4 linked regions of the Alligator mississippiensis genome follow. The protein of the gene in region 4 interacts with the protein of the main gene of each other region in a pairwise test. Links are inferred from orthologs where the notes say so. Each region holds a gene or a part of one and is shown on either strand. Other genes may lie near its edges. The genes, in order: THAP1, CPSF7, RBM12B and RBM10.

Region 1 (7,151 bases), on a different chromosome or scaffold from region 4:
TGCAGGTCGGCCAGCGCCTTCACGAACCCGTCCACGAAGCCCTCCTGCTCCTGCGTCACCTGCTGCCGGTACAGGAAGGGCCCCGCGGCGGCGGCGGTGGGGCCGGGGCTGGCGGGGCCGGCGCCTTGGATCAGCAGCTGCTCCAGGTCGGCGGCGGGCGGCAGCTTGAGCAGGGGCAGCTCGGCCGGGGCGCCCGGCGCCACCAGCGCCGCCTCCGGGCCGCCCCGGGGCCCCGCGCCCGGCGGGGGGGCGGCGGCGGGGAGCAGGCGCAGGGCAGCGGCGGAGCGGGCTCCGACCCCGGCCCCGGCCGGCCGCAGCGCGAAGGGCCCCGGCAGCGGCGCGGGGGAGGCGGCAGCCAGGTCCCGCTTCTTCCCAGCGCCCAGCAGCAGCTTGTGCGCGGCCGCCGCCTCCGCGCCCGGGCCGCCGGCGCCGAAGCCGTGCAGCGGCACGAAGTCGGGCAGCAGCTCCAGCCCCTCCTCGGGGTAGAAGGGCGCCTCCATCTTCACGCCCGCCCTCCCGCCGCCGCCGCTCATCGTGGCCGCTGAAGGGACCCCGACCCCCCGCGGGGGCCGGGGCCGGGGCTGTGCGCTCGGCCGCGGGGCGGGTCGCCTCGGCCCGGCGCGCGGGGCCAGCGGAGCCGGAGCCGCCTGCGCGGGGCTGGCGGGCGGCAGCGAGAGCCCCGGCAGGGGCGGGGCGGCGCCGGGCCCGGCCCTCGCACGCGGCTCCGCGTCTGCCGCGTCGGCGGCACCCACCCCGCCGCCTCGGCGAGCCCAGGAGAGAGCTGGCTTGGCGCCCGCGGCACACGAGGAAGGCGAGCGGAGGGGCGACGGGGCCTGGAAGGAGGAAGCGAGCGCGCTGCCCCCGCCCGAGGGCGCCCGGGGCTCAGCTTGCTCGGGCCAGGCCCGGAAACCTTTGGCAAGCCTTCACCTGTGGGGAGTGGGTTAAGAAACTTCTCAGTGATGGGTTTTTTTCCTGTGAGAAAATGCAGGTTTGTGAGTTTTGTTTTGGGGGGAGGGGGTTCTTTTACAAATGTTTCTGACTGCAGCTGGTTGGACTGCCCCATCTGGGCGTTTTCAAACTTCAACAGTTTTGTTTTTCAGCTCCCAACATTTGGAGACTCTGGCCTTTTGTCCTCACTGGGGACACACGAAGCGGAGCCCCCAGGTAACTGCTGGGTGGGACAGCTGGATTCTGTCGAGTTCTGCTGACAGAGTCTTGTTCAGGGATTTCAAAGCCATTGGCAACACGTAGGGGGTGCACACAGGTGCACATACACCCCGAGGGTGGTGGTGCACCCCGACAAAAGGTGCCACAGATAGTGTTGGCTGCCACTCGCCACCCTTCCTTGCCACCGACGCTGCCGGTGGCGTCTGCGGGCAATCCACAATTGCCACTGGCCGCTGCCACCAGTGTCTGCAGGTAGTTGCCGACCACTGGTTGGCACTTGCCACCCTCCTCCCCACCACCTCTGGGAGCTCACCATGCCTCCAGGGGCAGGCAGTGTTCATGCTTAAAGCCATCATGTTAAAGGTGACAGCTCATCTTGACGTGTTCCCTTTAGCTCACTGAGTGAGTGACCATCAGGGCGTGCTATAACTAATCCACAAATAATAGAGCAGTGCTCCCTGTGAGTTCTCCACCTGTTCTCCTGTCACAAGACCCCCCCCCCCCCCCCAGGACATCTGTTCATCCTTTCTCCCAACACAGGGGTGTTCAACTGGCTCTGGCCCTTGGAGCCAGGGCTTCCCAGGGGTTTGGAAATTTGGTAGTAGTGGCAGCATTAACTGTTGCTCCCCTGCTGCCAAATTCCTGGGACATGTGGGGAGCCTGCAGGCTGGATAGTGTGGTTCTGTGTGCTAGATCAGGTGCACAGGGCTAGGCTGGCACTGGGCACTGGAGCCTGACCTTGGCATCAACACTGCAAGGCATCTCGCCCACAGACCAGCTTCAGGCCACTCATCTGACCCACAGGGCCAAAAAGTCATCCATCACTACCCTTGGACACTTTCACTCATTGTCTCAGGACCAGGCTCCCTTTCTGCCCAGGCACCCGCCTGCTCAGCCTGTCTGCACCCACATTGCTCATGCTCACCTGCATGCTGCTCAGTGGTATTGGGCTATGGTGCTGTGCCTCCTGGCTCTGCTCCAAAATCAACTGGAAGGGAAGAGGCTGACAAGCAAGGAGCCCTCTGCCTGACTTGCCAAATGGTTTTCCTCTTCACCCAACATTACATAAAGGAGCATTCCTTTAGGGGCTGCAAGAGTCAAAGAGTCTGAGGAAAAATTTTCTAGTCAGCAGCAGTAGTTTGGGTCAGCATGTTATACCCCAGCCTCCTGCTACCTGCAGTAGTCTGCCTTAATGCTGGGCAGCAGCTGGGTATCACCCTTTGTAGCTCATCTTAGGGAGTACTCTAGGGAAGGGTAGCTAAATGAGACTCAGAATAGAAAGAGGATGAGAGACCTTGAGAAACAGGAAGTATGACAGGTATTAACAGAGAAATGAGAGCTTGAGGGGGCTGGAGTAAGGAGGGTCATTGTGAGTTTCTGAGAAAATGTAGGGGAAAAGGGATATTAGGAAAGGCACTGCGAGGTGGGGACACCTTGGAGTGGTACCTGGAAAGCAGATATCTAGGGAAGCAGAAAGACCAGCAAGAATTGGCTGGGGGACTTTCAAGAAATACAGGATTAGAGAATTGGAGGCTTGATAGAGAAAAGTGCAAAGGAAAACAGAAGAAAACAGGTCTGGCAGAGACCAGGGAGATTGTGGGGCTTTAGGGAAACTGGTGCTTACGGCAGGGAAGATGCAGGTTTTGTGGGGAAAAGAAACAGTGGGTTATGGAAGAATTTTGAGGATACACATCAAATTACGTTACCAAGGACGTTAGTTTCTCCTGAAAGATCAATCGTATTGATATTCTGGAGAAAGAGGGTGAGCCTATAGACACAATGAGAACTGGTATCCCAAAAGGTAGTCCAGGTCCAAACAAGCAGGCTACCACGTTCCATCTACATAAAGTGGGAGGCACTAAGTCACATCACCAGTCTCTTAAAGCCCAGCAGGTGTGGCAGGGCTGTCCCAGAAAACTACTAGTTACCTCCTCAACAGGGAAGAGTTGTATCACAGACAGAGCTGATTTGAGACAGACCCTTACAAGTAAATCCTGGGCTAGGAAGTAGCTGAATTTTCCTTCCGCAGAGGGCATTAGAGATGGACCTCTGCCATTCATCCTAACAAGCTACTGCTGGTCATTGCTACATTAAAAATGCTTCCCACCACAATCTGAAGATCTAAGCTGTTGGAGTGGGAATCCCACCAATGAAAGAGCAGAGACCTCCCCCCAATAAAAACAACAGAGATGCTTATTTTAAACCATGTTGTCTATCTTATTTAGATTTGTTACTGGGGTCTGCTGAAATTTGTTCTTGAGTTGCTGTTGGGTGAATGGAATAGACACATAGGTTCTTCACATTCCCAATTTCAATAGTACAGTATACTAATATTGTCACAAGTTGTTATTTTTTAAAGTAGTGCCCAGATTTTGTAGAGTACAGGCAGTCCTCAGACTTAGGACACAATTGGTTCCTGAAAAAAGCGTCTTAAGTCGAAACATGGTAACTCGGAACTAATTTTCCCATAGGAAACAATGTTATAAATGGGGGATCAGTTCCTGAACCAAGGCCTGATACCCTATTTTCACCCAAAATAACCCAGAATTTTGTACTCAATCAATTATAGATGAATAATGTAGCTACATTAATGTGTTTATATTGTAAACAGCAATCATATTGATTTGGAAGAACTTATTTGAGGTGACTTTGCTTGGACTTTTTGAAGGGCGCTTGGCTGGAGTCTTCTCAGGAGTCCTGGCTGCAGGTTTTTCTGGTGTCTTGTCTGCTTTGTTAAAGAAAATGTCCAGGGAAGTTTGGACAGATGTTCTCCAGGGAGATGGGCGATGCAGCAAACTTTTTTGCTCGCGTGGGGTTGAATCAAGTGTTGTAAAGTTGAAACTGATGTCAGAAAGTGGAAAGTGTCAATTTATAAACGTAAGTGCCATTCGTTGCAACTCCAAACATCTCAAAGTCGAGGACTACCTGTATTCAGTCAAGCCAGAATGACAATCCCTGGAAACTGTGGAAGTCAAGGCTTGAAAAACTGACCCTTCACTTGAAGCCCGAAGGGAACATCTCCCCCAAAACCCAGGGCAATACTTCGGTGAGAATATCCAGTTTTACTCCCTGCAGCCGGGTCTCCTCGCAGGAGCCCGCCCCTGCAACACGCCCGGGGCTTTCGAGGCTCGCACCCACCTCGCTCTAGGACAGCAATACTCAAAGCCTACTCCCAATTCACACGCGGAAGCATCTCCACTGTGTGCCCTGCAGCTCATCGCAGAACATGTCATTGCAGTGCAGCCCCGTGCCCTCCTTTACCAGCTGACCGTAGGAAGGAGCTAGTGTCCCCCTTCCCGCGTAAGCTGCAGCACTCAGATCGGCGAGCTAGGAGCAGCTGGGCAGCAGCTACCACCAGGGCAGGAATGCGACGCTCGACAATAAGGCACCCGCTCGCGCTCCACGTGCACGGCTGCCCCCCCCGCGGGGCGGGGCGGGGCGGGGCGGGGCAGAGGCCGAGAGGCGCGAGCCGGACGCGTGGGGGCAGGGTCCCGCTATAGGCAGGGGGCGGGGCCATTACAGCCAGCGTCCTCTCTGAGCCTCTGCTGCTACTGGCTGGGAGATCGGAAAGGTCCCGCCCACGCGCGAGGAAAGAACCAATGGAGAAATGCGACTGGGAGCTCTCGCGAGAGTTTCCTTGAAGCTGGCGCCGCCATCTTGGAGTTGGGAGAGGCCGCGTCCTGTTTATGTCGCTCCTAGGGGGTCGCTGAGGGGGGATGGGCGCCGGGCACTGAGCTAGCGGGGCCTATGCGTCCGCCGCGCCCCCGGGCCGAAGCATCGCCGGCACGGGCGGCCCCGGGGCGACAGGATGGTGCAGTCCTGCTCTGCCTACCGCTGCCGGAACCGATACGACAAAGAGAAGCCCATTTCCTTCCACAAGTGAGCGCGAGCGGTGCGGGGGGCGGGGCCAGTGCGCAGCTCCGCGCGCGCCCGGTGGCCGGGGGGAGGGGGCGCGCGGCGGCGGTTGGGGGCGGGGCCTGTCACCTCCAGGAGCCTCGGGTGCGCGCGCAGCCCCACGTGGAGGCGGGACGGACCTCGCGTGAGGGGTGTTGGGCGGCCCCTGGCAGCCGCACTAAGCATGCCTCTCGGCCACAAGGTGGGGGGGAGTGTGACCCCACCCATGCACTATGGTCAGGCGAGTCAACTTCTGCCTACACATGCATGCGTATATGCATGTCTATATACATGTCTGTATGTATGTACATATGTGCACGTGCCTATGGATGTGTGTATGTATATCTGATGCCGTTAGTCTATAGAGGTGCATCTCTAGCCTACCCTCTGGTGCTCTTTGGCAGGTGGTGGTAGCCTGCGTGTCATGAATACCTATGCACGCCTGCATTTAGGTCTCTGAAATCCATGTGCCTCAAACGAGGCCCAGCATGTGGCCCAATTGATGTCCCCTGTTGGTGCCTGGAGCCAGCTGCTGGGACAAGCGGCTGGCCGGCGAGTCAAGTAGTGGCGGCGCACATAGTAGTGTCCAACATGTGCTGCCATGCTCGCATGTAACGAGAGTCCCAACAGGAAGCTGACAGTGCCTCTTGGTTGCAGGTTTCCTCTCACAAGGCCTGATCTCTGTAAGAAATGGGAAACCGCTGTGAAAAGGAAAAATTTCAAGCCAACAAAGTACAGCAGCATTTGCTCAGAACACTTCACTCCTGATTGCTTTAAAAGGGAGTGTAACAATAAGCTCCTGAAAGAGAACGCCGTGCCCACAATATTCTGTTACACTGAACCCAGTGAAAAGGTAACCATGAAAACTCCTCTTTAAGGAGTGACTGACACAAATTTACATATGTAGATATATAATGCATGCTTTTTTTTTTTTTTTTTTTTTTTTTTTTTAACCTCAAGAAGGAGAACTGTGGGAAGGAGACTGTTCCCTGTGCATGATCATAGTTTTGGTCAACTTATAAGCAGGGATCCTGGTTTTCCATTATAACCCCCCCCCAATTCTCTGATAAATTGTAAATTCTCTGATAAAAATCCCAAAATCTGTGGTTAAAATTAAATGCCCTCCACATCCCCCCCACAGCCCTGCTGGTGTCTCTCACTCCTGTCCCCCAGTCCTGCTTGTGCCCCTGTCCCACAGCCCTGCTGGAAGAGCCCACAGCTGCTAGGGCTATGGGGCCAGGGACCCAGGTCCACAGCCCCCAGCGGAAGGCAGCAGTTGCTACAGTAGGAGCATGAGCCAGCTCCCCCCACTGCTGCCTGCCTGCCTTGGGCAGGGCTAGCTCCCCATGGCAGCGTGCAGTCCTGGGAGCCAGGGGGGACCCATGCCCCCCAGATCTGTGGGGGGTGGGGACAGGGCGGGTCTGCGCTGCCCCCATGTACACAGAGGAAGTGTGGCCAGGGCAGAATGGAGCTTGCAGCAGCAGGCAGCTTTCTTGTGTGGCCCTACTGTGCCCTGCCGTGCCAGTTGCACACGCTGCGCTCCGGAGGGCCTGGGGGAGGGAAGCAGGGTAGGGAGCACAGCATTTCTGACACTCAGTCTGCAGCTGGCCGGCACTCCAGCTGGGGTAGGGAGGGGCGTGTTCAGTCTCCCTGCTCCCGGTCGGAGTGCCTGGCCAGCTGCAAACCTCACCTCCTGGCTAGGGAGTACCTAGCTGGGGGCTGAGGGAGTGTGGAGGTTTGCAGTCGACTGGGCACTCCAGTTTGCAGCTGGCCAAGCACTCTGGCCAGGAGTGGGGAGGCTGCAAACTTCACCCCAGCCGGAGTGCCCAGCTGGCTGCAAACCTCCCTGTTCCCTCAGCCCCTACCCAGCTTTCCCCCCCAGCCTTGTCGTGCAACCCCCAAGCTCCACTTACCTCCAGCAAGAATAGTGAGCCTGAAGCAGCCTCTGGTAAGACTTGATGTCAGGACCTGCCCTTGCCCCTCTCCCTTCCCCTCCGGGCAGGGTTGAGGGTTTCCCACCCCTTTTGCAGACAGCTCTTGCAGGCTGGAACTCAGGCAGCCTACAGAGCTCTTTGCAAAAGGGAGAAATC
Region 2 (8,069 bases), on a different chromosome or scaffold from region 4:
GAATCTTGCTGTCACAGGCAAGTTCCCGTCTCCATTAATCACAGCCTGCTAATATTCTCTCTGGTGTCTCAATTAGACCTGGCACACAGCTACTGTTAAATAGCAATGCCCCATCCCGGAGGTGACTGTATTTAGTTATGGGTGAATTAAAGCAGTACTGTTAATTGAACAGTACACTTCAGGATCTTCTTTTCCCTGAGCTGTTCTTGATGAAGGCAGCAAGTCTGGTGCATGGTGCATTAGACAGCTGGAGCACTTGCTCCATAGGAACAATGGAATCAAAGGATTCACACTGGAGCAGAGAAGGGAATTGTGTTCACTTAGACCAGAAGCATCAAACACATGGTCTGCAGGCAAGTTGTTTCATCTAGCTCATCAGGCTACCAGAAATTGGTGGGGTATGGCCTGCCATAGAATCTGGGGCCCCTGTACCCTGGTGGATATGGCCATGGGTCATGCATGCTCGTGCCAATGCAGCCTCACATGGCCCACTGCTGGTTGCCCTATAACCACTGTCTGGGCCATCCCCATTGCCAGTCCCTGCTTCTATCTGCACACTGTCCTGGGCAATTGAGCTTGGGGCATGGGGTGAATTTAATACCTCTGTCTTAGACCCACCCAAGAGGGTATTTCCAGTAGGCAAAGACAACATGCCAAACTGGAGTCTACCCAGCATAAAACAGTCAACCACCTCACACAGCAATGTGCCATGGCTTTGATAATGAGTATTCAGAGGTACCATTTGACATTTCATCCGACAAAGTATTCCCCCTTGCACCCTGGTACCATGCTGGTGCAGTGCTAGCAGACAGAATGCCCCCTTCCAAGTCAAACTTCTCCTCTTCTGGTACTTCACAGACTCTTTATTATTGCATTGCAATTGAAAGCCTTTCCTAATATGACTCAGCATTTTACCTCTACCCACAGCCCTCTGCATGATGCCCTTTGGACTATTTGTTGGCAGACTGGTAGGAAACACAGTTGTTGGGGGTAGCTTCTCTCTTTCCTACTTTCAAACCTCCCAGTCAGAGGATGCCAAAATACAGCATACTCCCTATAGTGGAAGGATGCACAAGGAATGGTGAAAATGCTGCAGCCATGACTGAGGTTCCCAGACACACCAGGAGGCATTCTGCAATGGGTCAGAACATGGTCATACCAATGCTCGTGCGACTGTTGCCTCAAGGGGTGGTATACACCATTCAGATGCATGCAACCATTGCTGGGTTGGACTGCAGCACTACACCATGATGGAACCAACCCATTCATAAATTCCAGTGTCAAGAAAAGTGTTTGACTCTTTATTCAGTGGGGCGCAACCACTGAGTGGAGGATTTCATGTTGAGGGAGATCAGCAGTGCAGATTTCCAAAGAAGTCCAGAGCCTCAGCTTCTACTCCCATGGCTGAAAAGATGGTCCTGGAGACAACAGGGCGCCTTCACTTGGGTGGCTCGAAGAGGTACTCCAGGTCTGGCTGTCGCAGCCTCTGCTCTCTGTTCTTGTTCTTGGTGAATTCTTTCAGCATCGCCATCACTTCATTCTGAAACACCTCTGGGGTAGGCTTTGCTTCTGCAAGGAGAATGTCCTTAGGCTCACATCTTTGCCCCTGCATAGTGCCGAGCCCTGATCCACCCCAGAGATGACACAGCCCCGATTTTACTGCCTTTCTAAAACCTAGTTCACTAAATGCTGTGGGACCCACTAGGACCAAGCAGATATCTGCTCCTCCTAACCCCAGCTCAGCTCTTGGTTACAGGAGGGTGCAGGCCCCCACAGCCCACATGAAAGGGACCAGCTGGCAATTAGTATAAGCCTGGAAGTGTGAGGGTTGGGAGCCCCTGCCATTCTTTCAGTGTGACAGTCGCTGTCATGGCTATTCCAGTCCATGAGCTCAGTGGAGCTCATGCATGCCTGTTACCACAGAGGGCTTCCTGCTCTATGTCACCATGGGAGATGGAGCCTCCATCTAGATGGTGCTAGGCTGCAGCTGTACCTGTCGCCCAGTAGTAGATATCCCAGTCATTGCTGGGCTCGTTGATTAGACGGTCATAGAGGTTCAGCTGTTGCTCAGTCATGCGGTGCAGATTCTCCTTTGCAAAGAGGCTATGACCAAGAGAGAGAGAGGAGCTGAGAATTATTAGGAACAGAAAAAGTTCCAGACCAGATCAGACCTGGTGACCCTCTAGCATACTGGCTCTGCAAACAGCAGCCACCACATGATGCAAAAATAGACAAAAGAAACCCTGGAGTAGGGAGGTATGAGAGTACCCACCCCACAACTCATTAGGTCTCTCTACTAGTTGTGGATTAGCTAAAATTCTAAAGCATGAGATTTACTGTCTCTGTCCAGATTCTTCAGTCATCCACCCAGGTAACTGTGGACCTGCTTGGTACACACATTAACACCTGATACCTCCTGGCATCTAGCTATGTTCTTAGCATTTACAACTTCCTATTACAGTGAGTTCCACCAGCTCATTATACACTGGGTGGAAACACCTACAGCTCCTTGAATTGGGTGTGAGTTTGCTTTCAGCTTCATTTCATGCACTTTTGCTATAGGGGGCAGAGAGCAGTAAGGTACCCTGTTGTACTTCTCTTGGCCACTTATTTCATTGACTCTCTCTGGATTTTACAGCTCATTTCAAAGCTTGGGTGACAGTTGAGTCATTCTTGTTTTCCCTCTAAGTCGTGTTACCTCACTCTTACTGGCACTGAACTTCCCCTGCTGTCAAGCTGCCCACTTGTCTCGCTCGGCCAAGTACTACTGAAGTTCCACGCAGCCCTCCCTAGTTTGACTACCTTCCACAAGGACTCTCTGGGGTGGCAACTTTTACTGGACCAACTGCATAGTTAGCAGAAACCACAGACAACCTTTCAGGCAAAAGGTGTCTACTGTGGGGCCGGGAAAGGCCCTGTTACCCTTTTCTTGGATGCCTGTTATTTCACTAACTCCTGTGTCCCCTTTTTTGGCCTGCTTCCTAGGAATGGGAATCTTTGCTTGTCTTCCAGAGCGGTGGTTATCAACCTTTTCAGGCTGAAGGACCCCCTTGATAGGTTCACAGACGCACTCACTGACATGCATACAGATACAGAGACGCGCATATAAACATAGGTGAGTGCACATACACACACAAAGACTCGGGGGGGGGGAAGGAGGGGGCTTGATGCCAGCTCTTAGCTTTCACTCAGTTTTTTGCTTACAGGAAAATAGTAGAGTGATTCTTCTGTTGCAAAGAACTCAGAAGAATCAAAATAGGTCAGAGTGTTTTTAACACCATGGATTCCTATTTGAAATCTCTGGGCTTATTGGGTGAATCATGTTTGCACACCTAACAGTGCTAACACTAACACAGCACCCTGCTTTGAGAATCACTGTTCAAGAGTTTCTTCCTCCCCCAACCCTTCTCACTGCTCTGCTCTAGAGGAAGGCCACTTTGTGCCTGAAGGCTTGCCTAGGACATATAGAGGGGCTGATAAAATGCATCACCCTGAAAACCTTTCACATACTTCCTCACTCATCGGAGCTACATCATCAACCCTCCAACCTGGCATAAATTCAGTAACTCACTACTGCTGGGTGGTTTCAGTCCCTCCAGCTCCAGAATAAATCCATTAGAGTCTGAGACCTGGGGCCCTTGGGTTCCTGGCACACTGGGGGAAGGGGGGTGCCCAGGGGAGACCAAACCCTGGAGCTGGCGGCATGTGGCGGCCACAGCAGGGCCTGTACAGCACTGTCCATGGGGGCCATGGCAGTTGCCCCAATTGGCCCCCCCCAGGGACGGCCCTGTCTGTATCTGCACATCTGCGTGTGTGTCTGCGTCTCTGTGTGCATCTGTCTGTGGGCATGTGTTTTTATGCCTGTATGTATATGTGCACATCTCTGTGTGCATCTGTGCACGCCTCTGTGTCTGCACACCTGTGTGTATCCATCTGTCTGTCTGCGTGTCTCTGTATCTGTGCATGAATATGTGTACATGCACATCAGCACATTTGCATCTGTTCATGCGCTTCTGCATCTGCACACATGCCTGTGTCGGTCTCTGAGTGTGTGTAGGCACATCTCTGTCTGCGTGTCCTCTGTGGGCTTCTGTGCCTGCACATCCATGTGCATATCTGTCTGTGAGTGTCTGCCTGTTGGTGCATGTGCACATTTCTGTCTGCTTCTGCATCTACGTACATACCTCCATGCATGCCCATGTCCCTGAGTGTGCGGTCGTGTCTCTACCCATGCCTGCTTGTGCATGGCTGTGCCTGTGTGCACACACACATCTCTCTCTGCGTGCCTGTGAGCCTGCCTGCGCATGCTTGTGTCCGCATGCAGGAGTGCATCTGTCTGTGCGCCAGTACGCGTGCACGTACATCCCTGCACATCTCCGGGGGCGCCTGTGCATACTTCTGTCTGCGCCTGTGCCTGCGGGGGGGGAGGGGCGGGGGAGGGAGAGGTGCACCCGGCTGTGTGCGCGCCCGTCGCCGCGCACCTGAGCAGCAGGCAGTTCTCCAGCATGCCGCGCTTGCGGCTCTCGTACAGCAGCCGGGCGCGCTTCGTGTCCAGCGGCTCGTGGGGCCGCGCCCGCCAGGGCGGCAGCGGCATCTCCAGCACGTCCCGCCCGGAGCCGCTTCGGGCCGGGGCCGCCGGCGACATCGGGGCGGCCCTGCGGAGGCACAGGCGGCGCAACTGCCCGGGGGGGGGTGGTTATGGGTATGAGCCCGAGCCCGGCCCAGCCTGGGGACCCCCCAGGACCCCACCTCACCTGCCTCAGCGCCGCCGCCATCACGCCACTCCTGCCCTCCCGCACTCTAAGGCCCGGCCGCTCTAACCAACCCACTCCGCCCAGACTCTATGGTGCCACCGCTCCGCCCCGCCCTGCCCTGCGCGCGGGCCGGCGGGCGGGCCGGAAGGGGCGGGACGTGGCGGCGGAAGGGGCGGGACGTGGCGGCGCTGGCTGTGGCGGTGAGAGCGGTTCGCGCGCTTCAGGCCTGCTCGGGACGCGGCCTCCCCTCCGCTTCCCCCCTCGGTAACGGGGCCGGGCGCGGCCGCCTGCTCCCTTCCCGCGAGCCCGAAACTGGGGGTCTAGGTCACACGAGGCGCCCCGAGGCCGTGACCGGCGCGCGGGGCGGGGGGGACTGTGCGCATGCGCGGCGGGGAGGGGAGGGGAAGGGAGGAGGGAGCCGCGAACCCCCCGGGGAGGCTGCGCGGGCGGGGTGGGGGAGGGGCCGCGAGAGGGGTGGGGGTACTAGGGGAGGTTGGTTTTGGAGGGGGATGTGGCCAGGGCAGCCCCAGAGACTGAGGGGCTGTTTCTTCCATTCCCCCCGAGCAGTTACCTCTCTGCCTCCTGTTCCCCCACCCCGGCTCCGGCGCCCGGAAATATGTCGGAGGGGGTGGATCTGATTGACATCTACGCTGACGAAGAGTTCAACCAGGTAAGCAGAACAGGACCCTGAGTGGAGCCCTGTTGGGAGTCTGGCAGCCAGGGGACGGGGGAGGAAGCCGTGCCAAGCCCCACAGCAAGCAGGAAGGCAAGGGGGGCTCTTCCGTCAGCACAGGACCAAAGTTACACGCCAGCATTTTCTCAGGTGTGAAGGTGGAGGTCTAGGAACAGTGTTAGTTTGCTGCAAGTCTTGACTGAGGACCTCCAGGAAGCCTCTTAGTGCAGGTTTTGCTCCTGGTGTTATGGCAGGGAGGGGGGCAACGTTGAGAGGTGGTAGGAGGAAGAGGTTCATGATGCCCCTGTCCAAAGCATTTGCAGAGCCGGGGATGATTTGAGAATCAGATCATCCTGCTTTGCAGAACAGGAGGGAAACGACCTTTGGGTAAAGAGACAGGAAGCAAAAAGTAGGAGAAACGTGTATTGAGTAACCATAACATGCCTGTGTGGGTTGTAGGCATGTAAATACAGGACCTTCCTGGGCTGCCTTGGAGCAATCGGGATCCCTGAAACTTCACAGGTTGTTACCCACTTAGATACCTTTCAGTTAACTGGCTACGAGCAGAGAGGTGCCATACTATGGGAAAGTCTCCTTGTAAGCAGGTAGCTGAGAGTCTATCCTGGATTTATTAGTGGGTGTGTGAATAATGGGGGGAAATTTGAACAAGTGATGGAGAGCGGCAAAAAATGCAGGGAGGGAAGGAGGATAGCTGAACACAGCAGTGCAAGCATGTTGGAGAGTTTTTGGAGAGTTGAGAAGTCTGGACACATGGATGCAAACGTGGCTCTTTGAAGATAAAGATGCTATGTAAATACGAAATCAGGCTGGAAGAAGGAAGGTTGGAGGATCGGTTGTTGCAACAGATTGGGCTTGCTTTCAAAAAGCAAAACATGAGGAACATGAAGTTGCCAGTTTTGCCCTGAGGGTAATACATTTTCTGTTCCAGAAAGGTGATGGGTTATCAAATGAGAATGTGCTTTAGGTTTTTTTTTGGAAATTAACAGCAGCAAAAAGCATGGTGACAAGGGGAATGTGAGAAGCTTTTCAACTGTCTGGGAAGAAACAGAAGTGCTCTCTGGATGAATTAAATGAGAACAAAATTAAGGCTGGTTATAAAAATTGCTAAAATACTGAACTTAAGCCATGTACCAGTAGTCTGGTTGCATCCCCACACAGAAATTGGTCTCAATGTAAAAAAAAATTCTTCCCTGGATATATTTATAGGGCATTGCCTGCAGCACTGGAAACATCCCAGGATGTAGCAGATCCCCTGCAAGGCTCACTCGTTTTTATGCTTTAATGTGACAGGATGGCATTCTGTGTTGTGCCCACTGAACCATATCAGCTCAGAAATACTCTTAATTTGCATGTGTCCTTGCAGTTGGCTTTTAACAAACAAAATCAAGACAATGCGCATGACAGTTAGGAAAGTATTAAACCTGTTGCAGGTATTATCAAAACATGGTATCCTACAGATTTGGTTGGCAAACTTAGTGAGTCGTTGGGAATTTTTTTTGAAAGGCCACTGGAGAAATACCAACAAGCTGAAGGAAAATAAGCATGGTACTGATCAGGGAAGGAGAAGAACTTCACGTTGGCAGTTAAGTTTGGAAAGTCTGGCAGTTCCTAATTTTTAAAAAAGAGAATCTGTTTCTCTCTCAGAAGATAGCAGAGATATGGACATTTGGCTTGCTGGGTTATAAAGGAAAAGTCATACCCCTCATGTTTAATAACAGCTATCATGGTCTTAAAACCTTATGCTGTAATATTAACCCAGGTTAGCTTGACTGAGAATTTTCACATGGCTTCAAAAGTGGCTGGAAAGGTATTAACCAGGAAAGGTAATAAAATGCAAGGTATTGAGTTGCAAGGGATGTGTCTCCTGGGATGCTGAAGGAATTGATGTTGGGTCTGATCTTGCTCAGCTCTTCCATAATTTTCCGCAACTAGACAGTGGCACTAATCGCAGATCCTACCTCAAAAGGAAGGACAGAAATGCTGAAGCCCTGTGGGATTAAGTATAAGCAAAAGGTGAGAACTGGTGCTGAAAACACATCCCTAATAGATTGGTGGGCGTTCTCCAACAGGCAATGTACAGAGTTGAGGAGTAGAGATGATCATTAAGTTACAAGAAGCAAGATTTGTTTGATAAATATATTTTACTGGGAGAGAGATTAGACAAGCTTTTGGGCACAAAATGACAAAAATAAATAGAAATGATAAGTGAATAAAACAGGTTATCAAAAGGGGTTTCACACATCATGGCTGCAATAACATGGCTACAATAACATTACGTTAAGTTCCATTTTCTGTAACTTTTTGCATGACCAGGCTATAACACTTCATTTTCAGTGGGAGTAAGAAATTTGGAAAGCAGTTATGGTTTTGTGGGGTGAGAGTAGCTAATGACAGCGTAAGCAGGGGTCTGTTACCCATCAGCTGGATCCCTGTCCCTTGGCAGAACACCATTTTTGCTTTATGATTCCTGAAACATCTTAGAATGGCATCTAAATGCTCTACAGAAATTGTTCAAATGCAAAATAATTTCCATGTCACAAAGTGGATGGATTTGTGCATTTTTTATTTTAATATACACATCCTTTAGCCCATTAATCCTTGAATGATCAAAGTAACCTGTT
Region 3 (7,209 bases), on a different chromosome or scaffold from region 4:
GATAAAGCTTCCTGAACAGCTCATGGCACGTCGTGCATCTTCATCTGTTGCAAAAATAATAAAAGCCTCCCCAGTTTCTCCTCCAATAATATGCACTCCTCCATCAGGAATATTCAATCCCAAGAAGAAACGGCGAATATCTGCAGGGCCCGCAACAACAGGAAGCCCCTGTAAACGGATGACTACAGCCATGCTGCGCTCAACTCACAGCAAAATCACCTGCAGACAAAAAGGTACACATGATAGCAAGTCTTTAGTACTCATCTATCGCAGTATCTAAGCTCTTAAACTAACACCTTTTTAATGAAAATCCCTGATTCAATCAAGCTTTATGAAATCAAGCAAGAAGCTCACAAGTTCACCACAATCATTGAATCCTGTTTTAATCTTGAAGTAGATTTAGTCAAAACCATTAGCTATTCCACCTGGAAGTATGCACAATCTGTCAATATTCCCTATCTAAAGGCAACAAGATCCACATGAGTCAACTCCTCACCATCCACGATAAATAAGGACCATCTCAAGTCTTTCTTGGCATGGCTGCTACTTGTCAGAGATGCTAAGAACCAAAGTCTTCTCTTTGTGTTAGAGGCACTTGCTATCACAGCACTGAAAAAACTGAAAATAAAAGATGAGGGGAAAAAAGAAGAAAAAAAAAACCCCTACATCACCAAAAAAGCATTTCAGTGACTGTAACGAATGTTATGCTCTCAGACAAGTTGTCTACCAACTAACCAGTTCTGCTTACAAATGCGTATATATAACAAACAATGCAACAACGTTGTCTCTCTTCTTGCAGCAGCCAAATGCATTCAGGAAAGCATTTCCTATTTCCCAGTCATAAAGTCTGTGAGAAATGGCTTTGCGTGGTCTTTTGACAATACTGAGCGAGAAATGTTAGCCTTTAGGCAGCTTACCTGGTTCTGCTTGGAAGACCTGATAAATTCTGTAAAATCAACTTAACTGTGGAAAGAAAATGAGACATAATTAATGGCTGATATCACATCTGGTTAAAATACTGTGCCACATTGCTATTGTACATCCATATCAATAGCTAATATTAACAGCCAAGCACTGTAATGAAACCACGATTTGGGTTGTTATGGAGAGGATTCCTTCCTTGTTCCAAGAGAAATACAAGTCAGACAATGTAATTCAGCAAAATGTTATGCCTTGCACTTTTGCCTGTGAATCCATTTAGAAGTAAAATATTCAAAGGTAAAGTTGCTTCTGCAAATGATGAAAACATGCCAAGATTAATGGGTCATCAATTGTGCCACACTGAACTGTTCACAGGAAACAATGGCCAATAAGGTAAAAGGAAAAACCTCTTCGTTTAGTCCTTGAAAGATGCATAAGTCCCACTGAAGATTACATTAAATGTCCAATTCTTCTGAAATCCACCTGCTTTTGAAGTGCGTGACAGAATATGCTACTCACCACCATGGTATTCTTGAAGACACATAATGAAGAAAACCATAAGACAGAGCAAAAAAATTCAACAAGCAGAAATTCCGGAGAGTACAGGAAGTTACAAATTAAACTCATTTGTATTTCCCCCCAAATACCTACTGTCCTTCAATCACAGAACCAAAAACACTACCTTGAGAATCTTAGACTTATCCTGGTCTTTAAACAATTCCTATAGCATGAAAGCCATAGACTACATAGCATATTCCCCTACAGAAACAAGGTAAACCTATGCATGGAATTACCATCATATCATTAGCAATAATAAACTCTGGCTGACAACTGTTTAAGCATACAACATTATGCAGCAAGACTTGCAACAGACCAGGGAAGAGACAGATCTGCACAGCCACCTCATAACCAGAACAGCCCATTGCTTCACCTGAATTAGCACAAAAAATAAAACCAAAAACGTTTCTGTAACTGGCAAATCCAGTGCCAATTTCTAAATTTGTTACATCCTTGTTTTGGAAAAACAGCTACAAGCTAAAACAACTGCATGTCTGAAAATCACACTTCTAGATAAAGAGCTTCCCACATCTGTACAGCTATCTTCTCAATCGATAAAATGGCAACGCCAACATGCAAGGGAAGAATTCAACAGGAAAGCCAATTTTCCCAACAAACCTTCGACTCGAAGTCAAATCCGTATGCCTGCATTTCATTTGGTGGTCTGTAGTATGTCAGCAGTTTTCTACTTCCCTTCTGCATTCCCATACCAATTATTACCCAATATTCTGTCTTCACCCCAGAATCAGCGACGTTTCTGTGACGATAACTATCAAGATCCCTGCGATACATCCCAGGCCTAACATACAGCTACTATTCTTTAAACCAGACAAAGATCACAACAGTAGTGAAACTGAAGTTGTCCCACAGATAAAAAAAGAGCCAAGTGCAGCCAATGAACTTCCACTAGCCGTCCATCCATGCAACCAGCAGCTGCAAGTGCATGCAAGGCAACAAGTGCTTTAAAGGAACGACCCAACAAAGCTACAGGTAGCTTAGAAAGCTTTTTTCTTTAAATACCTATGAACAGATCAACACTTGAGCAAAGCCTTCAAAGGAGGAGGTTGAGAGAGACCGAGCAGGAAGGGTTTTGTGAAACCCTAGGTAGCCACCGGCTCCAAGCCTAAAACCCTGCGTAGCTCAAGCTCCATTTCTGATGCCACTTCACAACGCAGGCAGCGATCTCCTCGCACGGGAACGGGGCCCGGCCCACAGTGCCACAGCCGGGCCGCCCATCCTTCTCCTTTCCGCAGCAGGCCGCCAGGACGGAGCCCCACACAGGAGCCAGCGGGGGACGCAGCGAAGCACCAGCGCCCGGGGCTGGTGTGAGAAGTGGCCGACGCCGAAGCAGGAGGTCCCTTTCCCGCAGCGCGACAGCCGCGCGCTCCTGCTGCCCGAGGCTCCCGGCTCCCGTGCGCAGCCATTGGGCTCCCGCCGCCCCCGTCCTCCGCTCCTCGGCCCGCTCGGGCCGGCTGGCGGCGCATCCCGCGTTCCCGCCCGGGCCGAGAGCCGGCGCTGGGGCCGGCGGGGAGAACAGGCCGCTCCCGCCCTCCCCCGCCTCTGGCCCTCTGCAAGCGTGGGGCGGCCGGTCGCCGAGGAACCCCGCCCCGCCCCCCTCCGAGCCAGCAGGCGACGCGGCCCAGCGCGAGCAGCCGCCTCCCGCCGCCGTACACACCGGTGCCCACTACACAGGCGCGAGGAACCGTCCCCTCACTCAGCGCCCAAGTCAGGCAGCAACAAGATGGCGCCGCCCCACACCTCGCCGCATCGCGCAGGCGCGACCCCCTCCCCTTTGACCTTCCCGCCAACAGACGCGCGAGCCTCCAACCGCTTCCCGCTAGGAGGAGGCGCGTACGGCTTGCGTTGCGTCACTTCCGGTGCTAACTGCGCGTGCGTGCTAGGTTCAGGTTTCACTACGCATAGGCGGGTTGCATCCCGGACGCGCGCAGGCGGCCTATAGGGAGCCGTGATTGCTACAGACGGCGCGCATGCGCTCCGCAGCGACGTCTGGCTACGGACCTCCCCCACCCCCGCCAGCGGGATCCCGGTCGCCATGGCGACGGCTGGGCGTTGGGCCGCCGTCGCGCTGCTGCTGCCGCTGCTGCTGGGCGCGGGGCCCTCGGCCGGGCACAGCTTCTCCCTGCCCCTGCGGCGGCCCCGCGACTGCGGCGAGCCGCGCTACTTCGACACCGCCAGCCTGGCGTGCGGGGCGTGCGGGCCGCACCAGCGGGGCAGCGCCTCGGGTGAGCGGTGAGGTGCAAGGCGTCGCCCCGCCCGCGCCCTCTGCTCAGGGGAGCTGCCGTGCGGCTGCCGGCCCCGGCCCCTGAGCGCGTCGGGGGAGCCCTGGAGATGAGACTTCTCTGGGGCGCCGCGGCTTCGAGCTGCTGGAGAGGGGAGAACAGGTCCTGCCCGGGAGGGCGCCGTAGCGGCACGGCGTTGCCGGGTCTTAAATATGAAATGATCCTATTGGAAGCTCAAAATTATTGTATTGGCTGAAAAACGATTGTATGCTGAAAATATGCACATAAGTATGTAAATAAGTCTTAGCCAGGCAGCGAGCAAGAACTGGGTCATCAACGCTGAAGCATTTCTTTATTTTGAGGCAAGCAGTTGTAAGCAGGGATCCTGTGGGAAAACGGAGAAAACAACGGATTTTCCCCTTTACCGGTGGAAAACATGGATCTCTCATGTTTATCAGAGAAACCTGAAGATTTTGCAGTTTTGCGAAGAGCGCTCTGCAGGTGGGCTGGGGCGGGTGGGAGGAGGGCGGTCAGGCAGGGGGCAGCGTGTGCGTGTGTGCGCACATAGTTGCTGGGCAGCCTGGAGAGCAGCTCCTAGGTGTAGGTGCAGGGTTGGGGGAATAGAGGCCTCCCATAGGGAGGGCAGGGCTGGTGCTGCTGTCCCAGCCGGGCAGTGCATGGGGCGTGTGGCCCTGGGCTGCAGTGTGTGGCCACAGGGCCTTGGTGGGGAGTAGCATGAGGCCACAGCTTGTCTGGCGGGTGAGCAGAGTAAGGCCAGCTCCTGCCGCTACGCACACTCCCAGGAAACAGGGAGGACCTGTGCCCCCCTTCCCCCCCCCCCCCCCCGATATATATGCAGGGTGGGTGCAGGCTGCACACTGCAGGGTCAGGCTCCCACCTTGCTGCCCTTCCCTGGAGCATCTGCAGCCCGACAGGTGCGAACCAGTGGTTCAGGGAACGGCAGGGCCATGCAGGGATCTCTTTGTTGCTGCGAGATCCGCGCTGCCCTAGTGACATGCCCTCTGCGCAAGGCAGCAGCAGGGGCAGCACCATGGCGTTGTGCCCCTCGCTGCTGCCGCATGCGCTGGGGATGCATTGCCAGGGCTGGGTGGGGCTGTGGGGGTGGCAGTGATTGGCACAAGCAGGGCCGGGGGACCGTGGAAGGAATGAGGGGCACCAGCAGGATTGGGGGGACAAGTGGCCTTTCATTTCAATCGCAGATTTTCCAGGGTGTTTTATCAGAGAAATTGCAATTTTTTTGTTTATTTATTTATTTCTTAAATCAGGGAAAACCAGGATCCTTGGTCATAAGGAAGTGCTGGCAGCAAACCCTAAAGTCAGTTGAAACTCCCTGAGAGTGACTTGGGTTTAGAATTTGCTGCATCAATTAGCTGCCTCAAAAATTATCATACATTTTGAAGACTTCTGCTGTTATAGATCGTACAAGGGTTGAAATTATCGTACAAATATGATAATTATACTCTTGGCAACAATGAGCAGGTGGCCCACAGCGACAGCATAGCCTCCATCTATGTGCAGTTGGGAGAGCAGAATAGGCAGGCACTGAGTAGGGATGGATTAATCTGGGGGCAGGGGGACAATGATTCGGGCTGGAGGGCTCTTTAGGGAGTTTTGGTGAGGTGCTGGAGGGGAGGGGAGGCAGTTGATCCTGTCCAGCCTGGCGTCCACCCTGCACCCTGTGCTGGGGGTGCCAGATAATGTGAGCAGGCAGGCAAGGTCTCCATGGAGACCATTCATTGCACTGCGTTGGACAAATGGGAGGGCACCACAGGTGGGTGGGGAGTAGTGTCGTGGAGAGGGAAGGGTGGGCAGGGCACAAGGCAGAGCCATGACCCAGTCCCTGCACATCCCTGCGATGAGGAACAGGGACATGCAGGGAGCAGATCACAGTTCTGCCCCTGACCCCACACTGTCACTGCCCTGTGATCCCAGCCCTAGCCCTGCCTGCTGATCCTGCTCCTAGACTCTGCTTCCTGCCTGCCTGCAGCCCCATCCCATCCACCCAGCTGAGCATAGCCTGCTTGTGGGGGGTCCCAGGCTGATCTCCATGGAGACCCCGCCCAGCTGCTCCATCCACCATCCCTGGCAGTGGATGCACCAGGGTGCCCAGGTAGTGGGGCTGGGTCCACCAGTGGTGACAGCAGCAGAGATGCAGGCAGCAGCAGCCTGCCATGGAGGCTGCCAGGAAATCAAGTCTGGCTTCTGTTCTGCCACTGCCCTGCCATGTGTGCCTGGGCTGGCTCCTGGGCTAGCAGGGCCAAGGAACCTGCCACAGGCTGGATAGAATCCTTTGGGCTGGATCTGGCCTGTGGCCTGTATTTTGCTAGATGACCTCAAGTCCCTTCCAGCACTGAGAAGCTATGGTTCTATGACCCTGGAAACTTTGTTGTATTATTTTTATGTAACAGTCTAGGGCAGTGGTGTTCAACATTTTTCCCTGTGGGAGCTCATGGGCAATGCCTGGTCTGCTGCTCCTGGATAGTAGTTCCTATCCAGCTCCCAGGGGCAGACACCACTGGTCCAGGAGGAGGGGACAGATTGCAGCCGAGCTCAAGCTTGGTTCTGCAGAAAGGGGAAAGAGGCTTCATGGGAGGGCATGGTTTGGTCCTGCAGGGGGAGGGGGCGTGACCCAGCCCCACCTGGGAAAAGTGGGGGCCATGGCTCAGCCCTGTGAGGGAAAGGAGTATGATTGGGGAGGCATGATCAGCCCCAGTCTGGCCCTGCGGGGGGGAAGGGGAGTGTGGGAAGGGGGAAGGAGGCATGGTCCAGGCTGCAGGGATGGTGGTGGCCTGGCTTCGACCAGGCTTGGGGATTTGGCATATTAATGGCTACTGCTTCCCCTCTGACAAATTTTCCATTTGGTGAGGAGCCCCACAGGCCAGATGCAATGGCTGCTTGGGCTGCAGGTTGAGCACTCCTGATCTAACTTCAATGATTTGAAGTTAGATCAAGACAAAACGTAAGGTGTTTGTTGTGGGAGACTCCCTCCTGAGGGGGACGGAGGGGCCAATCTGCCACCCCAACCCCTTAGCCCGGCAAGTCTGCTGCTTCCCAGGGGCCTGCATCCGGGACATTGCGGAGAGGATCCCCAAGCTCCTCAAACCCACAGACCACTATCCCATGCTCCTTATTCATGTGGGCACCAGTGACACGGCTCGGAGCACTCCCAGCCAGGTCATGAGGCGCTACAGGGATTTGGGAGCGGGGCTTAAGGGTCTGGGGTCACAGGTGGTGTTCTCGTCGATCCTCCCAGTCTCAGGCTATGGGCTGAGAAGGGACAGGACGATCTATGTGGTCAACCAAAGACTGCGGCACTGGTGTCGTCAGGAAGGCTTTGGCTTTCATGACCACAGCCCGCTCTTTGGCGAGAGAGGCAGCGAGCTGCTGGGAAGAGATGGTCTCCACCTCTCTCCTCTAGGGAGGAGGCTCTTCTCAGCCAGACTGGCTGACCTGCTCCACCGGGCTTTAA
Region 4 (8,275 bases):
AGGGTGGGAGGGGGAGACAGAAGGGGTGAAGCCTGCATTTAAAGAGACAGTGCGTCATTCTCCATGGTAAAGCATGAGGATGCTGTTGGCCTCCAGCACTAGGGCAGGAGATGGGACCTCTACCCCAGAAGAGGGGGGGCTGACAGAAGAGGCAGGGTCTGGATTTAAAGGGGCAACATACATCATTCTCTGTGGCAGCCTGGGGCAGCATGCGCAGCATAATAATGCTGCTGGCTTTCTGCTCATCCTCCTCAGGCTCAGGCCGGTAGTCCTGATCCCGGTAGTCACCGTCTCCAGGAAAGCCCAGCACCTCACTTGGGCTGTCCCGCTTCCGCGGTGGCTCTGAACCTGATGATGCCTCATAGGAGTCCTAGAAGGAGAGATTAGGGGGGTGGGGGGAGGAGTCAGAGATTCAGTGAGGGCAGGGCTTCTAATCCCCCCTCAGAACAAGGCAGGCTGGAGGCAGGCTTACATCCCAGGCAGAGAGTGGGATCTCACCCACAAAGAAGAGCTTCTGCCCTGAACTGGACAAGGGGGAAGAGGGCTCTGTCCCCAAGGGCAGGGTAGGCAGGAGGAGCCTATGGTGGAGGTAGGGCCAGGGGCAGCAAGAAGCAGTGGAGAAGCCTCTACCAGGGCAGGCAATTATTTCGGCTAGAGGGCCACTTAACGAGTTTTGCTGAGCTATCGAGGGCCACATGTATAGCCCCATCCCCTGAAAGTATATTTTTGCCTTGATTTGTGTGCGTTTGCACAGCATATCTAGAGACGATAGCATAACAGCTCAAAATACGCTCTTACTGTGTGTGGCATGTAAAGGGGTACATGTAGGGGGTTGTGTGGTTTGGGAGTGGGTGTGTAGGATAATATGGGTGTGGGTATGAAGGGGGGGGGAAACTGCGTGGGGGCTGTTGGAGGTTGTGGGTGGGAGGTGGAGAGCTAGCCCCACCCATCCCATTCTGGCTACAAGGCTGTGACCCACATGGCACAGAATGTGGCCAGCCCAGTCCAACACAGTTCTGTCTGCAAGGCCAGGGATCTCATGGTACAGCAGGGAGACAGCCCGGCCCCTCCACACCTCACTGCATGGGTCCTGGCCTTGCAGCCAGGAACAGCATGCCACAGCTGAGACAAGCCAGGCCAGGTTGGTTCCATGCTACACCATTCGGGTCCCAGCCTTGCAGTCATAACTGCATACTGCCCGGAGGGCACAGGACAGGCTGAACTGGCTCTGTGTTCTGCTGCATGGCTCCTGGCTGCAAGGCTGGGTCCCACACAGCACAGTATGGAGCCAGCCCAGCTTATTCTAGCTACAATGTGCAGTTCCCAGATACATGACTGGGACCACAGGACACAGCAGGAGCCAGCTGGGAACTGCTGGGCCCACACTGTGCAGTCCCGGCCTTGCAGCTGGGAACAGTAGGCGCCAGCCAGACTGGCGCCTGATGTGCATGCTGCCAGAGCCATCCCAGCCCCCATGATTCCTGGCTGCAAGGCCAGGACCACACAGTATGCCATGGAGCCAGCCCAGCTCGGCCCCTGGATGACTCCTGCTGCATCTTACAGTCCTGGCTATGCAGCTGGGAACCATGTGCTGCCAGGCTCAGTTGAGCCAGGACAGGCCAAGTTGGGCTGGGTCTGGCATCATGCAGCTCTCAGCTGCATGGCCAAGACAGCAGAGCGCAGCACTGTGCCAGCCCAACCCGGTGCCATGTTAGTGTGCCAGGAGCCACAAGAAGTCCTGTGTCATGAGGCTGGGCCCACTCCATGCCTCCATGTGGTGTTCCTGACGCTCTAGCCAGGACCCGCACATGGAGGCACGGAGCCAGAGTCCTGCGCGGCAATCACAGGCGGTCCTCTCCAATCCAAACCTGTTCTTACCTGAGTTTCCACTCTCAGACAGAAGGAGGCTGAGGACAGGGTCACAGGCCAGAAGCCACTACTAGCCAGAAGCTTTGGGTTGAGGGCTGGGGGTGAAGTGGGGCTGGGAGTGGAGCAGGGCCAGGTGGGCCTTGCTGCTGCTGCCAGCTCCTCCTGCCACTAGTGCCTCCTCAGTTTTTAGACAGGCAACCACTAGCAGGTAATAATTTTCTAAGTTTTAGAGGGGCCCCATGGGCCCAATAAAATTGCCTGAAGGACCAGATCCAGCCTGCAGGCCATATTTTGCCTGTCCCTGCTCTATCCCCAGAGATAAGGTGAAGAAGGGGACAGGGTCTGACCCCAGATATGGGAGGGAATACACAAGGGGACTAGGGCCTCCACTTGGCATGCTGGAGGGCACCCGAACACCCACCTCTGCACTGTGCTCCCCCGAAGAGTCGTCATAGTCTGTGGGGGGCTCGGGTCCCCCAAAATCCCGGGGATAGGAGCGGTAGTCCATGTCCCGATAATCGTGATCCCGCTGGCTGCGCCCCTCGCTGCCACCTTCGTCCAGGGGTCGCTCTGCTGTGCCGTAGCGCCCTGTCCGGTCACCACGCCCACCTCTGGGGAAATGGGACAGCGGTGGGAAGGATCAGGGGGCTTTCAGAACCATTCCCACACTCCAGTCTGGTGGCTTCCCCCCTCCCTCTAACCCAGCACTGGCTCTACCCCCACGCAGAGGCCAGTACCCACTGTGATCCCTCCAGGGTACTCCTGGGAAGCCTCCCATCCCCTGCAGACCTTGACCCTGCCAAGCCAGACCCCCAGGGCAAGTCCCTGGGCTAAGGGTGTGGGGAACAGTTTGCAAGGCTCTATGGGGCTGATTACCTTCTCTCGTACTCCATGTCCTCCAAAACAGGTGCAGTGCCTCTGAGCTCGCCGGGCCCCGGGGAGAGTGGGGCGTTGCCACGCACCTAGATGCCCCCAAAACTGCTGCCACGGGACCTGGGAACAGACAAGGAGAAAGGGCTCAGGGCAGGGTCTCCCCCAGCTCTGAGGGCAGCGGGGGCGACGCCTGTGTTCTCTGGGGTTGTGGGGAGGGAGCGCGGATGCCTCGACTCTCCGGGAGGGCCCCCTCCCTCAGGCCCCGCCCCCTCGCTGCCAGTGCCCCACTGCTGCCCCAAGCCCCGCCCCCTCCCGTGAAGCCCCGCCCTTCCCCTTCTGCGCGCCGTCCCGGCACTGACCTGTCCCGCGCGGCGCTGCGGGCGGCGCCTGCCGGGCTGGACGCACTCCCCGTGCACCCGCCGCCCGCCGCCCGCCTGCCCGACGCGCAAGATGGCGGCGCCAGCGGCCGAGTCCTGAAGGCAGCGGGAAGAGCGACCACGCCCCCCGGCCCCGTGCTTCCATTGGTCCGCAGGTCTCGCCGCGCCGGTAGACCACTGGCCCGTCGCGCCGCCGCTCAGGGGAAGGCCCACCCTTCCGCGCGGATTGGTTCGTCCGCGCCAGGCCTCGCCTCCTGCTTCCTGTGATTGGTTGAGGGGATTGAAGTGGTCGCCTCCTCCCGGCGAGTAGAGGGTGATGGGGCTCCTCGTGAAATTCCGCCTACGTTCTGTTGTCATTGGTGGAGCTCCTGGGCTGGGCGGGGATGGAAATGGATCCCGCCTCCCTCTGTTTGTGATTGGGTGGAAGCGGCCACAGCACCACCTCGGGTCCCCTGCATGCTGAGGGCTCCTCCCCCGGACGGAAAGCTGGTCTACGTTGGGACTGCAGCAGATAGGTCGCTCCGTATACTAGTCCCGCCTTCACTGCTACATGATTGGAGAAGTCAGCAGCCGCTCGCAGGTGATTGGTAGAGCTTTCCCATGGCCTCTACAGATCGCAATTGATTGGCAGGGACAACGCAGAGCTCGCTAGCACGTGAGGTGCTGCAGTGACTTTATGATCTAACGCCGCAGCCTGCGGGAGGTAGTCATCAGCGTTCTTTTACAACGTCATCAGAACCAGACCACCCGTTGGTGGAGAAGGACGATGATGCTCCCCGGTAGCAGCGATGTGCTTCGTCAGTGACACCATCAATCAGCGGTCTGGTTTAGTTACCGAGTGACGTCATTGCACTAAGATACCGAACTATTATGTCCCGTCGGGTCTTGCAGACACCGCACTCCTGGTCGTCCAGCCCCCGGTATCATCCATGTGTGTCAGTGTGTCACAGTGGGATCCGAGGGTCGGGCAGGGAGAAGTAGCTGGGAGACACGGAATGGATTCTAGGCAGAAAGGTGGGCTGGGAGGGAAGAGCCTGCTGAGTTGGTGTCGTGCGTCTGCCCTAGTTCAGCTTCCAGCTCCCGGAGGGGACACTCTCTGCACGTCCCCAGGCCCAGGGGAGGGAGAGAAACCCCAGGATGCAGGCCCAGCAGGGGCTGGGAATTAACCTGGGAGTCCCCTGGCTTGGGGTCTGTGCAAGGCTACGGCTCGGTCCTGGGGTACTTGGGAGGGTCCAGGAAACGAGCTGGGACGCGAGTATGGAAGGTGGGGAAGGTTGTAGAGGGCTGGGGTGGGAAGTACGAGGTACAGTCGGAGGGAGTACTATTTAAAAGGATAGAAGGAACAAACGTGGTACAGTCCAGGTGTACCGAGTAGACCCGGTCCAGGGGACGGGAAGAGAAAATATGGCACAGTCCAGGGGTACCAAATGCACAGTACAGTCCAGGGGGCAGGAAAGAGGGAAGATGAAAATCCAGGTGGGGGGAGAGCCGATGAGGATGAAGATTGTGCAGTCTCGGGGAAACAAAAAAATACGTGGTGCAGGCCGGAAGAGGTTATACAGGGAAGAAAGATAGTACGGTCTTGGGGGATGTTACTAAGACCCTGGAGGGGATATGGTACAGTCCTAGTGGGTAGATGGAAAAAACGGAACAGTCCAGGGAGGGGCATAAATAAAAAAGTACCTACATGATACAGTTCCATAGGACTGAGTAACAAAGGCAGCATTTGGATGCCCCTTTAAGGACCCCATTTTAAAGTCGGCAGTATTTAACTCCACCCCCACCGCCAGTTCTTTATTTAGTCCCACTATAGCCCACCTGCACGTAAGCAAACTCTCTGGAAGTGCTCCGCCTCTTCCGGCTCCGGCTAGGAGCCCGGGGTTGTTATGGCGGCGCTGAGGCGCGGCGGGCACACGTTACGTCTGGGTGGCCAGGCACTTCTGGCATTACGGGTGCCCGCGGGACCCCGCCGAGCCGTGGCCGCGGGCAGCGTGAGAGGCGACGCCGTCGTGACCCCGGGGGCTCCGCCACCGCCGCCCCCCACCCCCGTGCAGGCTCTCGAGGACAGGGAGGATCACATGACAGCAATGCTGCGCAAGGTGACGGCGAAGAGGCGGGGCCAAGGCTTGGGGGAGGACCAATGGTATAGAGGCGAGACAAAGCAATTGGGGAGAGGCCAAGGGGCAGTGGAGGGCAGAAAAGTGTTTGGGGGCAATGGGGGCGGGGCAGGCTCACAGAACAGTACAGGGAGGGAAAGGGTGGGGTCAAAGAATAAGGAGGGGCAATGGGGGCGGGGGCAGGGGCAGCTGGACCTAGGAGAACTGGGTTCAATTCCTCCCTCACCCAGGGGCTCCCTGGTCTGGCACATCCCCATAAGATGTGTGTGGGGGTCTGGGAACCTGAACCCCTGGGTTCTCCAGCCCTGTGAAGGGCTGGGGCCTAAGAACAGTGGGATGCCAGGTGCCTGGGTTCTCTTCCCTTCCTCTCTGCCCCTGTCCAGGGTTGGCAGAGGGCATTGCCAAGGTCAGCCAGACTTAGCCTCACCTCTTAAAGAAGCAGGCACAACTCTTCTCCCAGGACCTACCTCCCAGGGTGGGAACTCCTACTCCCTGCTGCCCTCTCAGACTGGGAAATGGAACCCAGGCATCTGGGCTCCCCCTACTCTCATACACTCCCCTCACTGAGAAAACAGGTGCCCAGGGTCCCAGCTTCCCCTGCTTGCACCTACACTGTTCTCCCAAAGCTCAGAGAATCCAGGTGTCTGGGCCCTAGGGCCTGGCAGTGGGTCTCTGTCTCTATCACCTTGGCTCCAGTTCCCAAGTGCTTGGTGGCAAGCTACTGCATCTGGTTTTTATTATACTCAGCTGCCTCCCAGCCCCCCCCACTCCACCCCAGAGCTGAGTGCATCCAGGCACTGTTTTGCTTTGTTATGTTCTGCTGCCCACTTGTTCAATACCCAGGTGTGCCCAGCTCTGGGGTGGGGCCAAGACATCTCCATACCCTATTAAATTCAGCCATCTTCCAGCCACACCACTGCAGAGCTGGATGCATCTGGGCACTGAACAACCTCTTTCCATACCCTGTTATATCAAGCTGTCCCCTTCTGTCCCAGCCCAGAACTGGACTCATCCAGGCACTGAACAAGGTGTCTCCATGCTTTGTTCAATGCAGTTGCCCCCTTTCCCCCAACCTCAGAATTGGGTGCACGTGCTTATTGAATAACCTGTCTCTCTGCCTCAGTCGGACTCACTCCAGAGCTGGGTGCATCTGGACACTGAACAAGCTGACTCCATACCCTGTTATATTCAGCCATCTCCCAGCCACTCCACCCCAGAGTTCAGTGAATCTGGACACCGAACAAGCTGTCTCCACGCTTTGTTCTATGCAGGCATCTCCCTTCCCCAAGCCCAAAGCTGGATGTACTTGGACACCGAATAAGCAGTCTCCAGGGTTTATTATACTCTGCCATCTCTTAGCCACCCCATCCCAGAGCTCAGCGCATCTGGGCATTAAACAAGTAGACTCCATGCCCTGTTATACTCAGCCACCCTGCCCCAAAGCTAGATGCAGACTGGGCACTGAGCAGGGAGCGGGGGGAGGAATGTGGTGCCCCCCAGCCACTGATGCCACCTCTCCCCTTGTGCCCCAGAACCCAGATTACCATGGCTTTCATGATGACCCAGTTGTGGACTTGTGGAACATGCGCATTGTCTTCTTCTTTAGCGTCTCCGTCTGCATCGTCATAGGCTTCACCCTGATGCACTACATGCCGGATAACGGGTTAGCAGGGTTGGGGGGGGAGGGAACTCAGGACATCTGGGTTATCTGGGAGAGAAGTGGGAGCTAGAGAGTGAGAACAGGGAGAGGTGGGAGCCCAGATGCTTGGGTTCTCTGCCAGAGGGTTGAGGGGGGTGAAGGCAGGGGGAGCTGGGAGCCTGGATCCTTTTTGACTTTCTCCCCTTCCCCTCCCTCCCACAGGATGCAGGAGTGGGCCCGGCGTGAGGCAGAGCGGCTGGTGCGGCAGCGAGAGGCACAGGGGCTGCCTGTGCTGGACCCCAATTACTACGACCCTAAGACACTGGTGTTCCCCCCTCAGGATGAGGACTGATAGCCCCCCCCCCGTTTCCCAATAAACCTGTGTGATCTGCCTGACTCCTAGCTGGCTGTGTTTGTGGGGGTGCCAAACATCAGGAAGGGGGTTGGGGGCCCAGATGCCTTGCTTCTGTGGGAGGTGGGGGGAGGGAGGTGGGAGCCTGGATGCCTGGGTTCTCTGGGAGGGGAGCGTGGTGTGTGGGGGTCAGAGTCAGGGAGGCTATGACCCTAGGGACCTGGGTTCCCTTGGAGGGGGTTAGCATGGAGAAAGAGTTAGTCACCCTCCATCCTACAGAATCTAGCTGCTTTGGGCTCTACAGCAGTCCTTTATGTACCGTATTGTCTCATATGACATGTCGTCCTCCCTGCACCCCAGAAGGCAATATGGCTACTGCTTAGCTGTTTCTGCTTCCTCTTCCCCTCCTCCCCACCCTTGCTAGGGGTTGGGACCTCACCTTGTATGCCATAGAGCAAGTGTTCCAGGAAATGCAATGTCCAGAAAGAAGGGAACTTCAGGAGACAGAAAGTTCCTGCCCCAGTGCTACTCTGTGTTTGGCACCCTGCCTGTGCCCCCTACCCCACCCACTGCTCTGGTCTCTGTTCCATGCCCCAATTGCTGTTCTACTTCCTACTCCCTGACCTATGCCCACTGCCCATCCGCTGCTCTGTTCTCTGCTTCCTGTCCTGCACCCCCTTCCCCTGAGCTCATGTCCTTGAACACCCTAGTTCCCCCAGGCAGTGCTTCTGTTTCCCCTGGGATCCAAAAAGCCCCTAGTCCCTCTGACAGAGGAGTGGGGGTGGGGGTTGGAGCTGGGAGCCCAGATGCTAGGGTTCAGAGTGAGGTGTGACTGGGAGGGTGGGAGCAGGGGGTGCTGGTAACCTGGAGTGCTAGAGGGGGCCCAGAAATGGGAGGTGGGAGTCTGGCCATCAGCTGTGGGGGGTGGCTGAGAGCCTGGATGAGATCAGAGTTACTGTCACTTACAGCTTTCCCAGAGACTGCCTGGGGCAGCAACTGCTGTGCTTCCTGGCCACTCTGTGCCCCACTGTATGACCCTGGCACATGG

The links.
Region 1: the proteins of RBM10 (region 4) and THAP1 interact in binary tests that used the Homo sapiens proteins (3 or more experiments, as listed by UniProt). The two-hybrid records come from large-scale screens. The link is inferred for Alligator mississippiensis from reciprocal best matches to the Homo sapiens genes RBM10 and THAP1.
Region 2: the proteins of RBM10 (region 4) and CPSF7 interact in binary tests that used the Homo sapiens proteins (3 or more experiments, as listed by UniProt). The two-hybrid records come from large-scale screens. The link is inferred for Alligator mississippiensis from reciprocal best matches to the Homo sapiens genes RBM10 and CPSF7.
Region 3: the proteins of RBM10 (region 4) and RBM12B interact in a two-hybrid assay, tested with the Homo sapiens proteins (3 studies listed by BioGRID). The link is inferred for Alligator mississippiensis from reciprocal best matches to the Homo sapiens genes RBM10 and RBM12B.

The regions. Positions count from the first base shown.
Region 1 is NC_081826.1:155,713,826-155,720,976, reverse strand, and holds the start of THAP1 (THAP domain-containing protein 1), read left to right. Parts: upstream 1-3,841; 5' UTR 3,842-4,914; coding exon of another isoform or gene 4,915-4,975; coding exon 4,976-5,046; intron 5,047-5,718; coding exon 5,719-5,914; intron 5,915-7,151. Other genes in the region: transcription factor JunD-like, read right to left, coding at 1-533. UniProt on the Homo sapiens protein: DNA-binding transcription regulator that regulates endothelial cell proliferation and G1/S cell-cycle progression.
Region 2 is NC_081825.1:177,663,516-177,671,584, reverse strand, and holds the start of CPSF7 (cleavage and polyadenylation specificity factor subunit 7), read left to right. Parts: upstream 1-4,910; 5' UTR 4,911-5,018; intron 5,019-5,321; 5' UTR 5,322-5,370; coding exon 5,371-5,424; intron 5,425-8,069. Other genes in the region: SDHAF2 (succinate dehydrogenase assembly factor 2, mitochondrial), read right to left, coding at 1,439-1,569, 1,994-2,103, 4,482-4,678, 4,755-4,775.
Region 3 is NC_081826.1:43,993,759-44,000,967, reverse strand, and holds the start of RBM12B (RNA-binding protein 12B), read right to left. Parts: upstream 3,260-7,209; 5' UTR 3,155-3,259; intron 3,118-3,154; exon of another isoform or gene 964-3,117; 5' UTR 918-963; intron 220-917; 5' UTR 193-219; coding exon 1-192. Other genes in the region: TMEM67 (meckelin), read left to right, coding at 3,533-3,722.
Region 4 is NC_081831.1:27,613,450-27,621,724, forward strand, and holds the start of RBM10 (RNA-binding protein 10), read right to left. Parts: upstream 3,209-8,275; 5' UTR 3,102-3,208; intron 2,863-3,101; 5' UTR 2,763-2,862; coding exon 2,746-2,762; intron 2,481-2,745; coding exon 2,291-2,480; intron 371-2,290; coding exon 182-370; intron 1-181. Other genes in the region: NDUFB11 (NADH dehydrogenase [ubiquinone] 1 beta subcomplex subunit 11, mitochondrial), read left to right, coding at 5,006-5,218, 6,769-6,899, 7,098-7,227. UniProt on the Homo sapiens protein: Binds to ssRNA containing the consensus sequence 5'-AGGUAA-3'. May be involved in post-transcriptional processing, most probably in mRNA splicing. Binds to RNA homopolymers, with a preference for poly(G) and poly(U) and little for poly(A).